2 linked regions of the Lepisosteus oculatus genome follow. The protein of the gene in region 1 purifies or fractionates together with the protein of each later gene. This does not show direct contact. Links are inferred from orthologs where the notes say so. Each region holds a gene or a part of one and is shown in the gene's direction. Other genes may lie near its edges.

Evidence for each region. The genes of interacting proteins can lie anywhere in the genome.
Region 2: the proteins of supt7l (region 1) and atxn7l3a purify together in Homo sapiens (affinity purification with mass spectrometry; 6 studies listed by BioGRID and IntAct, counting the BioPlex papers as one, with this or other methods). This does not show direct contact. The link is inferred for Lepisosteus oculatus from reciprocal best matches to the Homo sapiens genes SUPT7L and ATXN7L3.

The regions. Positions count from the first base shown.
Region 1 is NC_090697.1:27,545,695-27,553,813, forward strand, and holds the start of supt7l (STAGA complex 65 subunit gamma), read left to right. Parts: upstream 1-5,056; 5' UTR 5,057-5,141; intron 5,142-6,542; 5' UTR 6,543-6,576; coding exon 6,577-6,986; intron 6,987-8,119. Other genes in the region: slc4a1ap (kanadaptin), read right to left, coding at 428-567, 1,017-1,077, 1,797-1,925, 2,631-2,835, 3,760-4,662.
Region 2 is NC_090723.1:3,126,223-3,134,097, reverse strand, and holds the start of atxn7l3a (ataxin-7-like protein 3), read left to right. Parts: upstream 1-4,756; 5' UTR 4,757-4,846; intron 4,847-4,855; exon of another isoform or gene 4,856-5,008; intron 5,009-5,168; 5' UTR 5,169-5,302; intron 5,303-7,368; exon of another isoform or gene 7,369-7,371; 5' UTR 7,372-7,462; intron 7,463-7,875. Other genes in the region: ubtf (nucleolar transcription factor 1), read left to right, coding at 104-169, 321-440, 573-680. UniProt on the Homo sapiens protein: Component of the transcription regulatory histone acetylation (HAT) complex SAGA, a multiprotein complex that activates transcription by remodeling chromatin and mediating histone acetylation and deubiquitination.

The DNA.
Region 1 (8,119 bases):
CAGAGGGCACAGTTGTGCAGCAGTAAGTCCTCATGCGTTGCAAACAGTTGCTTGGGAAAGCCAGAGATGCACGATTGCAAGAACAGTGCAGTTAAGATCAAACACAGAGCAAAAACAATAAGGACCTGAAAAGGTAACAAACGAGAGGAGGCTGTTTGTCTATCTAGCCTGTTTGGTAGCTAATTGATCCAAGGTTCTTATCCAGCTGCTTCTTGAAAGAAGTCTCGGCAACATAGCTGGCTAGCTTGTTCCACACTCCCACCACCCTTTGTGTAAAAAGTGCCTCCTGCCCTGACTGGAAGATCTCGTCCAGCTGTTACCTGAAGGAATCCTAGTGTAGAGGCTTCACCTACACAGCTGGGCAGCTTGTTCCAGACCCCCCCCCAACACACCCCACTGTAGCGTGGACATGACTCAGCGTGCCCACCTGCCTCCTGGCGCAGAAGCCCACGAGCCTCCAGGATACGGCAGGCCTCCAGGGCACACTGTATGGCTGCCTCCTTCTTCTTCCCCGTGTGGGTTACCTCTGCCACCAGCTGTCTGCCCACCGCGTCGTCCACTGGTAACCTGGGCACAGCACATGGCGGCTGTCAGTTCAGTATTACCACACTGAGTTCACAAAGCACAAGGCCCTGGGCTGGGTTGTCAACATTTCTAAAATATTCGAGAAAAGACAACTAGCATTTCAACACACTGAGAAGTCAGTTTAATTTGACAGAATTCAACTAGAAACATTCTTCTTTTCCAGATGGACATATGTGATAAAAAAAATCAACTTATCTCAGGAGAGAAACACCTAGCCCACGTCAAAGAAACAATAATTAATAATTAAAGTAAGAAATAATTCCACAAACATGACAAAGAAAAAAAAATTAAAGCTCTGCACCAGCAGCCCCACTTGGGCAACACAGAGCAGCCACTCTGCACAGCAGATCAGGGAGATCTTTGTCTCTTGCAGCTGCAGGACAGTACTGGGATAGGATGGGTGTGAGAAATAAGGAGGTGGGCAGCCTTACCTGACTCTGCAGACCCATGTGCTGCGGCCCTTGTCATCATACTCGTACTCCAGCTCCTCGCCTGAAATCATAATGCAAAGCTCAGCCTTCGGTTTGCTCCCAGCCCATCCACTAGACTCGCATAATTAATAATTACCAAGGCTGTACATGTCAAGACCATTAACAACATGCTAGAATGTAGATACTTTATTGATCCCGTGAGGGAAATTGCAGTGCAACAGCAGCTTAACACAGACAACACAGCCACAGTGTAACGAATGATACAATAATAATAATACAATACATACAATACAATCAGTACAGTGAGGGGTGCACTAAAAGAGTTACTCACAGTCAGGAAACACAAAGAACAAACTATAACAGAACAGTACGCAGAAAAATCGTATCACACATCTGAATATAAATATAGATGTAAATATAGATATAGATATAAATATAAATGAACAAGTAATAGGTTTATTCCATGCTGAAAAAAAGGAGAAAAAACACAACGTTTCAGCCGTGGAGCCTTCTTCAGGTGTGGGAATGTTTAATAAATATAAATGTATAACTACACTCACTATGTCCCACACAAGGCGTCACTTGGTAAACCTTTTTTTTTTTTGCACAAGACTTGCACATACAGACTATGTCAATTCTGGCCCACACTTTCCAAAGAAATAATAAGCAACCAGGTGATTTCAGTTTAACGGCAGGGGACGAGGTACTGGTATTCATGGAGTGTGGATGTGTTAGACCGCTAATGTCCATGCACTGAGCGAAGAGCACCTACTCCCCTACCTTCCCTGTCGAAGAACCCCTGCAGGGCCTTCTTGGGGTCCTTCAAGTAAAGGGCCTCTGGGTCCTCCTGGAACTCACTGGCGAAGGGATTCTCGGCGTTCTCATCCTCCTCTGGAAGCGCATCTTCCCCTGGGGGGAGAACAAACGGAGAGAACAAAAAAGAGACAGAGGTGAGACAGAAAATGGACTTCAAACAGCCTTCACAGAAAAAAAAAAACGTGAAAGGAGGTCGATTAAGAGAAGGCCTGCTGACCCAGAAAGAAGACTTCTGAGTTTCTTGAAAGTCATGCATATCTGAAATCAATGTATTAACCCTTATTTAGTAATGAGGACTGCTGCTATTCTTCGTTCTGAACCTGCTTTGTTTTCCTGATTCCAGGATTTATGCCCCCAAGATTGTGGCTGATGCCACCTTTCTCGGGCAGTAAAACTAATGCTAAGTTAGAAACTTCCCTGAATGAAGCAGCTTACAGTAAAATACAAGAATCCCATGAATGTTTAATAGTGTGTCAGCAAACAGCAGAACTGAGCTGAAATCACCGACTGTGTAAGGCTTCAGTGGTATTAATGATTCCCTGCCTAACCTCTCAGTTTGTGTAAACATACACAGACAATTTTGATTTTCCTGGATATTTACTACTGGACCGGTGGAAATGAATTTTCAAGCCCGGTGTTTGTGTGTGCTTAGCAAATCATGAAACGCTGTTAACTAGTGGGCCATCAGTAAGGTAGAAGGCAGGAGGACTCTTGTTCCTGTGCCATAGTAAGAGCACTGGCCAAGAACCAGACTCAGCAGGTCCCACTGGGGCTGTGCTGCGTGTTCCAGTGGCTCACCTATTCCCCAGGTGCAGCTGCCCTCTTCACTGGCACAGCTCCCGCTGGTGCTGCTCTCCCCTTCTTCCTCTCCCTCTCCCTCCCTTTCCTCGTCCGAGCCGTCTCCCATCATCCGCTTCTCCAGCTCCTCCCGCTGCCTCTGGCTGCGCTCCCTCAGCTCCGTGACGGACAGCTCCGACTCAGCTTCCGCGTCACACTCTGGGCCCTAGGAGGGGAGACAAACGGTCAGTTCTCCCCCGAGGAAGGCAGGGGACTAGGTCTCCTTCAAAAACCGCCTTGCAGGAGACCAGGGCACGGGCTCCCAACCTGCGTGCAAATGGACATCAGCCTGGCTTAACAAACAGGACCGAGTCTTAACCAAAACCTGTCTTTTAATCAATTCAAAACATTCCAAAAGCTAAATGATTTCATCATTTGAGCAGCTGTAGCCTTTTGAAAATCGTTTGTGATGGACGACACTACAGGTGCTCTTGGTACCAAGAAAAAAACCTGAATAAACAAAACAACAAAAGCCCATCTTTATTCATTGCCATGCTTTATTTATTAAGATATGAATTCAGGAAGGGTACCTATCTTAATGATACATAAAGCAACATTTGAAAGAGGTCACTGAGGGTTTTCGTACATAGTCTACAGAAACTGTAGGTGGAAAGTAGCAGTATCGCATTCCCACTGGACTGTACGTGAGTGCTTATGTGTTTCATAATTACCATGAAAAAAGTGTGACACATTGATTTAACAAACCTATTACTTGTTCCTTTGCAGCCTTAGCATGCTGACGCAGCTACCCACCTGAACCACATTGATGTTATGTCTAACAACTTCCCTATTTGCAAAGTCAACATTTAACAAGGATTTAGGAACTTGATTCTCCATCACTTGAAAATGCAATTAAAGGGCATTTAGTTTAAAATCCTGATTAAACACTTAATCTATATCCAAATTACAGGTATAGTCATAGTTTGGGTTCAGGGAGCCTGGATCAAACTAATCAGCTAGGTTGTTGAAGCCGAAGTTCATTTAAAAATTTACTGTGCATGGAAGACCACAGAGTGCAACACCTTTGAATAATCTAACTCTGCAAGAGATTTAAAGGAAATCAGACACTCTCGTGTGTCTGCAGGCTTACCTGCAGGATGAACAGCCTGGTGCTGCCCCCAAACTTGAGCACATGGCCCACTCTTAGCCTGATGTAGGTCTTGGGCGGAATCTTGTTCTTGTTGACGAAGGTGCCATGTGTACTACTCAGGTCGAAAACATAGAAGCCCTTCTCTTCCCCGATCACGCCCTCCTCTCCAGCGCGCCGCCGGTACTGGACCACGGCGTGGTAGCGAGAGATGGAGGGATGTTCCAGGGACACATCACAGTTTGGTAACCGACCAAAAACGAAGAAGCTCCTCTCGGTGAGCGGTACCGTGTCAAGGATGGTGCCATTTTTCAGAATTTCAAAGTAGTAAGATGTCTCTGCCAGACCGCCCCAGGGCGGCTCGGTGTATGGCAAAGGAGGGCAGGGTTTAAACTTCACGTCCGATACTTTGGATGGGAGTTTGGCTTTGAGGACCTGCGCACTTGCAAGACCTCGTACTGTTGCGCTGGCTGCGTTATCCTTTACGGGTTTCGCGGTTGTCGGAGAGGTTGTCTGGCTGCAGTCGTTTGTCGTGTCGCTGCCGTTTTCTAAAATGCCATCACCAGATGTACCGCAGTCCCCTTCTGATTCCAAGCCTTCTTTACCTGTGTGCGTGGCTTCGGGTATTACAGACTTCACACTGTTTTCCACAACGGGTTCTTCATCAACAGTGGACACCGGGGCAGCTGCTCCGGGTTTCTTTAAAGGCAAGGAAGGCGCCTTGAAAACGTCAGGTTTCTTAAACGGATCTTCCAGTGCGTGGGTTTCATTCGTCCCTTCTCCTCCCTTCGTCTCCAAAATAACCCTATCGGGCTGTTCTCTTTCTTCTTTCTCACTCATTCCAATTTCAGTAAGCTCACGCTGCTGCTGCTCTAATGTTCGTGTTACATTTACTTCTTCCGCCATGCTTCTTGGTACAAATGCAAAATATTTCCTTCCGCTTTGGGGACAGTAGAGACTAATCAAGAAAGGTTCCACATCAGAAGACTTTTAAATAAGTAACGTTTAAGGTTATATTTTTGTACATTATTACTGATTATTTTTGGTTTTCAGCGTGGAATTAACCTCTACGTGTTCCTTATTTGTGAGAACAATAACACCGAAAACACTAGCATGGATTTTTATTACTTTTTTATTTGGTCTATAATTCTCTTAATTTATTAAACACGGGTAATAAAATTACTAATAATATTAGAAATATTCATATTGCCACAATATATATATCGCTTACTATATCTCATCACGAAATCATAATAATGTTGAAGACGACGAATAATTTAGGAACTATTGTATAATGAGTAATTGTTTCCATACGAATCAAAATAAGAGTTGGACACTTTGAAATTTGTCTGTTCGGCATTCAAGATTAAAGAAATCGTATTAAGGTGAGTGGTTTTGTGTGGTTTATTGTTTAAACACTGATGGTTGAAAAGTTTCAGTTTTGTAATGTAAGCAAAAATACACATTTTATTTTAGTAGGGTATCATAACTGCAAGTCAATAATTGTATGGATACGATTTTGTATACACTATAATTACAACGGTTATGTTAACATTTATGTTCTTTTTTCAAATTTTACACTGTCCGCTGGGTTGAAAACCACGCCTCAAGACTGCGGTAAACTTAAAAAGTATGGTTTCGTCCGAAATAAAGACGCCGAAACAAAAATATATAACGAACTAAAAATATAGTATATAGTGTTAAGCGTCACCTAACTCCCAATCCAAGGACAAATGACAATGATGCGTTGTGTAGACTAATGTCTAACTCTATAGTACTTCTCTAGAATAAATCCTATAGCCTCAACTTTAATTGTAGGATATGAATTCACAAAACAAAACAAAAAAGTAAAAACATAATTAACTCGAGGGACGGAAATTACGCTATAGGCGTAATAGATATTACATGCATGCATAGAGTGCAGTAACATTGTCGTTACTGTAGCAGATCCTTTAGGGACTAAACGCATTAACGTGTATCGGCAACATGGACAGTAATTCTCTCTTTACTAGCTGTTTAACTTCTGTACACACTCTCAATTTTCAGGAACTTATGATTTTTAAAATACAAGAAAAATTCATCACTATATAGTAATTTTAGTAATCGAAGGCACAATACTCCAGGAAGGGCTGTCTCTTGCATCCTGGTCCTGGAGGCCTGGTGTGTCTGTGGGTTTTTTTAAGCAGCAGCACCTGAAGAGCTGGAAATGGTTGTTAACACAGTAATCAGAGTGTTGAGAGCTGAGGTGGATTTAAAACCTATAGACACACCAGCTCCCAGGACCAGGATTTGACAGCCGTCAGATCCTCAATAAGCATACTTAAACAATTACCATTCGCTAGAAGAAAGCTCCTGAAGGAAGACAACTGGTTTAACTCTCATCGTATTGTGGTTCACAACACGATTTTGTAGGAACATGTTAAACCACAGGTTCTCACCTCTTTACCTGGGAGTCTGGAATCTATAGGGATATTCAACGCCACTTTAGGTCGTCGATAAGGCTTAAGGCCGTGGAGAAAGAAAAGATCAGCCCAGTTAAACCTTAATTGAGTCAGTTTAACACCCAGGTGAAGAGTATCTTTCGAACTTATGGAGAGACATAGAAAGTCTGCTGGATTCTGGACCCAGAGGACTCAGGTTGGGATCTCCTGTGCTAGACTGTCACTTTCTGCCACCCACAGTCCTTTCACCTCGTTTTGGGAACCCCTACCTTAGAGAGCAAAGCCTTATGTCTGATTCTAGTGCCGTTTAACATGAATCTACTGTTTTGTGTGTGTGTCCGGCAGTGTTGCTAGCGTGTCTCGAGGCTGAGGTGGCACGATGATGCGGTACTGGGGGGAGATCCCAGCGCCCGCAGCGCCGCCCAGCCGCAGCTCCTTCGACCTGCTGCAGCGGGAGTTCCGCTCGGTGGAGGTGCAGGACCCCCCCCTGCACCAGCCCTCCGCCCAGCGCCCGCGCCCCACCACCATGCTGGACGTGCCCTCGGAGCCCTGCAGCCTGACCATCCACACGGTGCAGCTGTGCCAGCACGCCCGCCGCCTCCGGGGGCTCCTGGCCGCCGCCCAGGGCCAGCCCCAGGCCGAGGGGGCGGGGCGGCCCGAGGACAGCGACGCCCTTCCTCCCCGGCCCGCCACCCCTGCCCTGCCCGATGACCTGCTGCCCCCCGACAGCAAGGCCCCCCACCAGCCCTTCCAGCTGCGCCACAGTGACCCCGAGAGTGACTTCTACAAGTGAGTGTGGTTTAGGTCTGCCTTTTCAATTTAAGGGCACTTTCTTCCTTTCTCAGTTTCAATTAAATTCAATTCAACTTTATTTGTCATTAAACTTACACAGGTGCCTAGTATAATGAAAAGTGTTTCTCATTAGTCACTCAGGTGCAGTATATAAATAGGACAGAAGGTAAGACAATAGACAGTAACACAATAGCAATAGCAGTAACATGTAATAACATAATATAAATAACATGTAATCAAGTAATCGAAACTGTGCAAAATTCCGCAAACAGAGAAAATATAACAGGACAAAAATACTGCAAGGTAATTCTTGGAACATTGCAAAAATAGTATGGTTAATTAATAAATATTAAATATTATTACGACCGGTACAGTTTTACTGGGCTATTGAGGGGACAGTACAATTTTGGCTTACATTTGTGTATAGTGGTGTAGGAGTACAGTCATTGTGGGTACAGGTAGACGTTAGGAGAGATCATAATATGGTTGGAGGGTGTGGGGGCGTCGCCAACTTGACAACTCTGGGGAAGAAGCTATTTTGGAGTCTAGTTGTGTGCGACTGGAGTGACCGGAACCTTCTGCCAGATGGTAGGGGAACAAACAAGTTATGACTGGGTGAGTTGGGTCAGATATAATTTTGGTGGCTTTTTTCAGACTCCTGGTGTTGTATATTTCCCGGATGGATGGTAAGGCACTGCCGATGATGTGTTGGGCAGTTTTGACCACCCGCTGTAGTGCCTTGCAACACCCGTGCAGTTGAACACTGCTGCCTCAGTCTCACAAGCTTGCAATGAGCGGGGCAATAAAGACAGGGAAGAGATGCAAGAAGTTAAGATAACCAGCCAAACACTGAAATGGTGTTAACCATCCCCTGGCCGCGTCTCTGTGAGCACACCATGAGTTAACCAAATCGGCTAGCCTACAGATTTGTGTGCCTTGTATTTTGTAGGATTTGAGTATACAAACAAGAAGAGGGAAACATTGTTAAGTATATAGAAGGAAATTTTGCAATAGCTGTAAGTGTTAAGACATGGAATAACTTGAGTTCAGTAACTCCCTGGTACAGGCTGAAGAAGAAATGACAAGGAAAGTCTCTGGGTTAAAATAAAGTGTGCCCGCACTGAAAAAAA
Region 2 (7,875 bases), on another chromosome or scaffold:
CGAATCCCAGATAAGCAGATCAGCGAATGTTAAATTCACTGATGTCGAGGCCCTGCTGGTGATCCAAGTGGTGGACGCTCAGCTCCTCTGTTTGCTTTCACAGAAACGCAAAGGGAAATCAAAGCCTGGTGGGACAACCGCAAAGGTGAAGGCTCTCGTCAATAAATCGGTAAGTTCTGCAGCGTGGATCCGTCCTCTCTTGTCGTCTCTTTTTCCTTTGTGAACGCGGGACCCTCTGTCTCACTGCTCCAGGGGAGCGCGATGATGAAGTGAGTGTGAAAGGAGGGGGGACCGCTGAGACATTTTTTTTTAATGTACAGGATTCCGAAGAGGAAGATGAGGATGAGGACGATGAAGAGGAGGAGAAGGCGGCTTCTTCAGATGAAGAGTCTTCCAGTGAGGAAGACAGTGAGGAGGAGGAGGAAGAGGAGGATGATGAGGTTAGGAAGTGTGGGTCTTGCAAACGACTCCTGGGCATCCTTTCTTTATTAGTTCTAATCTAGAGTGGTTTGAAATGTAAATGTATGACTGACAAATGAACTTTTTTAATTATTTCCCCCCGGCGTGTTTAGAACGAGGAAGATGATGACGAAGAGGTGGATGACAAGGAGAACAAATCTGAAAGTAGCAGCACCGGCTCGTCTAGCTCTGAGGAGTCCTCCGACTCGGATTCCGACTGATCCAAGGGATGCCCGTAGGAAAAGAAAATCCATCCTTCCTGACTGTGAGCATTGCAGAGCCAAGAAATGGGGGAACAGTTCCCTTCCATAAATGCTGCTGTAATAGCACTCCCCTCCCAGGAGGAGGCACCCTATGAGCCGAAAAGACAGACAGCAAGAGTGCTTTTTGTGCAAAGAATCCCTTCAAATTCCCCCTGCCCTAGCTTAAACACACAGACACCTACATGCTGGCCTTTAGGGACACGTGCGCTTTGCTGCAAGAGCTCTGTCCAGCTGACTCCCAACAGCCTGCTCCCAGAATGTTTCTCCATACTTTAGTTTTTAACACACAGTTCTTGAAAAGAACACTCACACCTCTGTCAGAACAATGCGACATGTTATAAGGAGACTTGCTTTCACGTTTGGGGCAAAAAAAAGCTGAACACCAAGACTTTTGTAAAGCATTGTAACTTTTAAAAAACTGAATACCACTTTTAAAGCTTTTTTGTGATGTGATGTAAAACAAAATGCCAAATTCCCTTATTCTGCCCAGTAACGCTTTTTTGAAAGGGACATTGTTGAATCTCACGGCTACTGTATGCGGTAGGTATTCCCAGTGACGAGGAGTGAAAGAGTACAGTTCACTTGCAGGCAGAGCAGGGGAGAGGTATGGGACCACACACTTCCGTTTAAGCTAACGCATTGATTCAAGGCCTTTGTTGTCAAACAAGTGTTTTTGATTGTGATTTTCATGAAGAAATAAGCCAAGAAATAAGCCAAGGCTAATGACCTGTTAGGTTGGCCAAATATCAATTAAATGTGCTTTTGCTACAGAGTTAAAATGCTAGTTACCTGTTTGGAAAATGTTAAGTGGAGTAATTTCTTACATCACATTTAAAGACTGGAATAAGACCACCATCTACTGTTTTCAGTTTATGAATCAAACTCTTTGGTGAGAAGGCCTAAAAGCCACAGCTAAGCAGACAAGTTTAAATGCTTGTTCAGAAAATGTTACTTGTGATGCTTGATGAGTAGTTTCAACATCAGCATCTGTTTATATTCTTTTGTTCGCCATTAGATTAGTAGGGGGACTCAGCTTGCAATCGCAACCTTTGATTCTATGTCATTTAATTTCCCAGACTCATTGACAGTATTTCAGAATCATTTCCTTTAGTCCTAGATTTGTTACGACCAACATCCTTCCTTTTTTACTTTTTTTAGTGGTAGCTCACCTTTTCAGAAGCTACTAAAAAAAATACAAAAGATTTTAAGGAATCAAAATGCACATGCTTTCGTTGAAAAGAACGACAACAGAACGCCAAGAAAGGAAATTCAGTCTGTGGCTTTCAAAAGTTGATTTTTTTTTCAAAGAGAATGCACTCCCAGGCTACTGTACTCTATGGAGCCCCCTAGTGGTGTATGATTAACTGTACTGCGTGATTCTTGAGCCTCAGAAATGCTAGGAACCATCCATTTGCGATGAGCTGTTGTAAACCTAGTATTTGTAGGATGGAAAATAGCTTCTGTGCAGTTAGGGTCAGATAAAACAGATTTTGTTTTATCCACATTGTCCTTACAAACCACTGTTTTTTATGAATCCTGATTATAATCTCTACTGCAGATTGTCAGGTCTCCCAGTGCAATCAACAGACAGCTTCCAAAGGTGAAGATGTGCACTTAAACTTTTATTCTTACTTTTTATTTACTTTCATGAGATTCCTACTAAGTTACCAATTAGGTATTATAATGGTGGGTTAACTGTTTTTATTAAACCAGAACAAATTTGCATTTAGGACATCATTTTTAGTTTTTAATCTTAAATATTCTAAGACCTTTCCTGTGAATTCCCCACTAGCTTAGTGTAAAAAGACCACATTTTTTTGTTGGGGAAAAGAATGTCTAGTGAGGCCAAGCTGAATGAGTATTTTTCCTAGTAAAAAAAATTATGAGCACTCACTTTAGTAAATGGATGCATAAAGAAAAAAAGTCATGGAGTCATTCACCTCCACCCATGAGGAAATATTGACATTGAAATTAAATATTTCATAACTGGATCCAGAAGTCTTTTTAAATCAAAGGAACAGTCTTCAGGCATTACAATCCTGAGGCCAAGAGCTGTATTTCACTGTGGACTAAGATAATTTGTTTTCTGCTTCTTTGTTATACTCTGTGCAGTGCATACTTTGAAACAGGAAGAGTGTCACTGGTACAGTCCCACAAGTTATTAAGTCCCTTTTGCCAGTTTGTTCATAAGGAAATGAATGCATTAAAGCTGCACACTGGGAATTTCTAGTATGGAGGGGGGGGGGGGGGGTGTCATGTGTTGGGTCTAATATGGTTGTATGGTATTTGTATATAATGCTCTTTGTAACAAGTGGCTTTTGTTTTACTTGTAAGTATATTTTTATTTTGTGGAGAAAATCTTACTGTTATTTGTAGGGCGCTGCGGGGTTAATGAAAGCGAAGGCGCCAGTCTCGGCTGTAAGCGGCGACTTTAGTGCGTTTTTGCACTTCCCAGATGCATGCAGCTCTCGGGAGGTTTTTTTTCTAATGTTTCAAAAGTGTTTTTTTTTGTAGAAACAATAAAAAAAACAAACAAAAAAAAAGCTTTGCAGATTTGTACTGCTCACGACAACCCAGAAAATCTTTATGATGTTTTATAGCAAAAGGTGTTCTTTATTTCAAGTTATTTACTATTTGGGGCAAGTAAACTTTGTTTTTATCAAAATAACGGTGTTGTTTATTGACTTCAGAAACTTGCATCTTTTGCAAAGTCTGCTTTAATGATATCTTTTGGGTGAGCTTTTACAACATATTTACTATAGTCTTTTTTTGCACTTAACCAATATTCAACCATTTTAATGAAAATAAGGGAGATGTACCAGGCCATACCTAAATCCAAGACTACAAATTCCCGAAGAACTCCTTAAAAGGGGGAAATCTGTATCGACTAGCTATAGATGTGCAATAAGCTGATGGATATATCAATTGAGAATGTTGATTAGGTGGCACAATGGTTAACATTACCTCACAGTGCTGGACCTGGGGTGCTGTGTGCATGGAGTTTGTATGTTCTCCCCATGTTCTTGTGGGTGTCCGCCAGCTGTTCTGGATTCTTCCCGCAGTCCGAAAACATTGGGGTAGGTTGTTTGGCTTCTGCGAAGATGAGTGAGATTGTATCTGTGATGGACTGGCGTCCCATCCAGGGTGGATGAACAGGCTCCACCGCAACTCTGAATTGGAAAAATGGGTAAAAAGAACGGAACAAAATGCAGATTAATGGTTAAATAGCACAACTTTAATTTAGAATTTTAGATGATGAAATATAAAATGAACTAAAATTAAGTAGGGGAGAGAGAAGCTGGGGGTCAGAGCGCAGGGTCAGCCATTTATACGGCGCCCATGGAGCAGCTGGGGTTAAGGGCCTTGCTCAGGGGCCCAACGGAGTAGGATTCCTCTGCCGGCCGCAGGATTTGAACCAGCAACCTTCCAGCCACAGGCGCAGATCCTGAGCCACAGAGCCACCGCTCCTCCGCAGTTGTCATACTGGGGCACTGGATTTAAATTCTATTCCAGTATGAAGATCGCCACCTACTGGTCCACTCCCACCCCTTACAGCAGCAATCTGATTTTCCTCGGAGGTCTCCCATGATTTTTCTGTGGCGCAACATTCATTCTAAAATGCAAAATACTGCGCCAACGTACATGGCATTGAATGATAGTGGTAGGTGCTGAACAACAGATTTCTCAAGATCTATAAACATCTCCTGCCCTCTACAGAGGCTCATTTCTGCCACCTAACTTCCTTGTATCCAAGATGAGACAACAGTTTAATTCATTTTTATAGCTGCCGGGCTTCCCGCACACGTTATCCGCCGGATGCAAAACATTGAGGTAACTAAGCCATCAACATGTAGAAATGCAAACCTAACGGCGGGTGAAGCCATCCCGTTGACGTCACTCCCAAACTGCTGGCAATTTTAAAGATACAAAACGAAGTCCATAACAACTCGCCTGTTACACACTGGTTGTGTTATAATCGTGCAACCAAACTTCAGTATGGGGGGGGATAATGTAACCTAATCTCCGCCCCGCCTGTCGGTAATTGGAGACTGGTTTGACTGCGTCGCTGAGCTGCTGGTCGGATCGTCTGTCCATCAAGCAGCGCGGAGCTCAACCCTAGCGAGGTAGGCTGATCTGAGCTTTTGCTTTTTTTTTTCTTATTGCATTTCTTTTTCTTCCCCATTTAAAGCCGTCTCTTTGATCGCAGTTTGAATGATGACCGGCTTGTGACAAGCTCGTCTGCAGTATTACTGCAGGTTAAAAAAAAAAAGAGAAGTCTTGTTGGGGTGGGTTGTATATATATATAAAAAAAAAATCAACTATAGGTAATTGATTAACATTGCCTGCAGGAAAAAAATGGCAGCTTATTCCTTTATTTTTTTATTATTTTTGACAGCGTTTAGATAATTGTGCGCTGGAATTTTGTGCGTCTTTTTTTTATTACAGGCTTGGAGTGCAGTTTGTTTCGGACGGTAGTAATGAAAGCGGACAGGACACCGCTGTCTACATGAGATGCCTTTCTGGACAGAGAGCTGCCGGAATCGGCTCTGATCTCCAGCCTCGGCCCTGGCTATTCAAGGGTGAGGGTGCAGGTTACAAAAAAAATCACTTCCAGTAACAATTGTTTCGGATTTCTTGACGATGCCTTTGACGAATTTATTACGTACCTTTAATTAGCGAGCCCCGCTCTGACCACGGATCTTATTTAGGCACGATTTATGGATGCTGATATTTTTAAATGGGAGGGTGGTATGTAGATGTAAAACAGTTCCTGCTTGGCTTTTCTTAATCGTTTTAAGTTTTTTGTTGTTGTTGTTGTTTTCTGTGATGGGCTGCGAGTAGTTTGATGCATTACAGCCCCCGCAAAACCGTTCGTTATTTGCATGTGCTCAGTTCAGAGAAAAAACGTGTTTGTTAATTGTCGGAAACAAAGTGAGCAGTAAAGTGCGTTCCGTGTTTCAGTGCCTTAAAATATTTGAAAGGTGTGTGTTTACACAGGCTTGAACTGTGTCCTTTGTACGTATTATAATTTAAGTGACGACGGTTTTGGATTTCATGCATGTCTGATTATATTTAGCTTTTTTTGGTGTGATTAAAACAACGAGACCTTTTGTGTTAACATTCTGGCTGGGGCTTTTTTTTTAATCTCGCAAATGTTCTTCTTCGTATTTAATGTAACTGTATTACCTAGTAATTATTTATTGTTTTAATAACTACTGGCCCTCTTTGTGAGAATGAGACACAAGGATATCTTGGTAAATACTGTAACGCATACGGCCAACTAAATCACGCCGTCCGTTCAAATGAATAGTTTTGGTCCGATTTGTACGGCGGAGGTCTTTCCTGCAGCTACATACCCGTGAACTTTTTTTCCAGCTGAGTTCAGAATTACTGCAGCCTATCTTTTCATTAATTTAGAGACGTCACTGTAGCATTCTTTAAAGATTTATGCCCTTTGCTCTTTTAAGAGCATAATCACAGTAGGGTCTTTTGTTATTAAACTGTACATTGAAGTAGAGTGGCGATCGTTTTCTTGGTTGTCTTTAATTTATATGGGTCTCATTTGGCCTCTGTTCATACTTGTCAAGTGAAATCTGTTCATTTAGACCTCATGTTAGTTAAATACACAAGCTAAGAAGAAAGAAGCCTTTCCTTTTGAAATCCATTGCATCGGGTCCCTTTCCCCCCACCTACACCCTGTACTGTCTGCAGTGTCCTGTAAATGTTTTTCTTTCAGCCTCCTGGAAGAATAAAAGAAACACTCGTTTTATGTTTTGTGAAGCTACGTCTGTATTTTCCTGTTTGGCCATATTTCTAAAAGTGTTCTTAATCTTTTCTGGCATCCATTTAGTTCCCCTGTATATAGTTGTGTAACTCTTTTGCTGTCATACTAGAATATATATATTTTGTGTGAAACTGTTATCATGTAACTGACTTCTTGTTTGCAGACAAACGGAATCCCTTGTTTTGTTCACAGTCAAGTTTTCCCAGATTGAGACTATTTATCTCACTTGTTTCAATCAGGTTTCATTTTGCTGTATTTCGATCTTGCAGTTCATTGTATGAACCGAACTCTATAAACACTCTTCTGGTGACAAAATTAAATGACCTCAAGAAATAACATTCTCCTAACTATAATATGCTTACAGTTAGAGTATTTTGGAAACCAAACTAAAGAGGTTGTGTTTTCAAGTCTGGTCCCAGAAAAATAAATATTTCTATCTTAACGCAAAGTGTCAGACATTTTAGAGCAGCTTGTCCTGGGATTTGTCAAAACTTGGAAATAACCTCTTATTTGCAATCCATTTGGGCCAATTTCAAGTAAAATTGAAATGTAGCTGGAGTGGGTATTTTATTCATTGTAATTGTGGCACGAAAATACATATTATGTATATAATTATACATATTATATACACAGTGGATTACCCACTTCAAAAATAAAAACTAAGAAAGATTAGATCAGATCTGTAGGTTATCAGTTGTATGAATTCCATTGTATAGTTATGCATACATATGAAGGAGAAGATGCCATTAGAAATACATTTTCATTGTCATCCGTTTTGACTTATACCATTAATGATGCAATTTGGAAGAGCACAGCATTATTAAGAAGCATAAAGCTATGGAATTCTTTTTTCCCGTTCAGCAGAAAGAGTCTTTGAGAAGGAAGGCCATCATTCCCCACTGAAGGCACGTCTTGAATAAGTGTGCACACCAGCCTGGCACAGCTCTGCGTGTTTGTAAGTACTGTGGGTCCATTGGGAGTAAGTCCTGTTGTGCCTGCTTTGGGGTCATTTTTACTTGCTGTCCAAGTTATTAAGAACCTTCAGTCAAATGAATAGACTCACAAGAGGTATGCAATATATGGTTGGCTTCAGAAGCCAGATGCAGACTTAATTCACTTTGTTTAGCCAGAACAATCCACAGATCTCAGTCCCGTTGAAGGCTGAGAAAGCGTGTGAAATGTGCAGTTCTGTCTCATTCGCTGTCCTGCTTAAACAGTGAGTTTGAACTGGGCTGCACTAATTTAAAATCTTATGGAATATATGGCGTATCTCAAATTGAGAGGACCAGTGCTTTTTTTAGGCGTTGTGTTGTAATATTTTGTGTGGTTTTGTACTTTTATGAGCTGTGTAGTGGAAGTATACCCCTG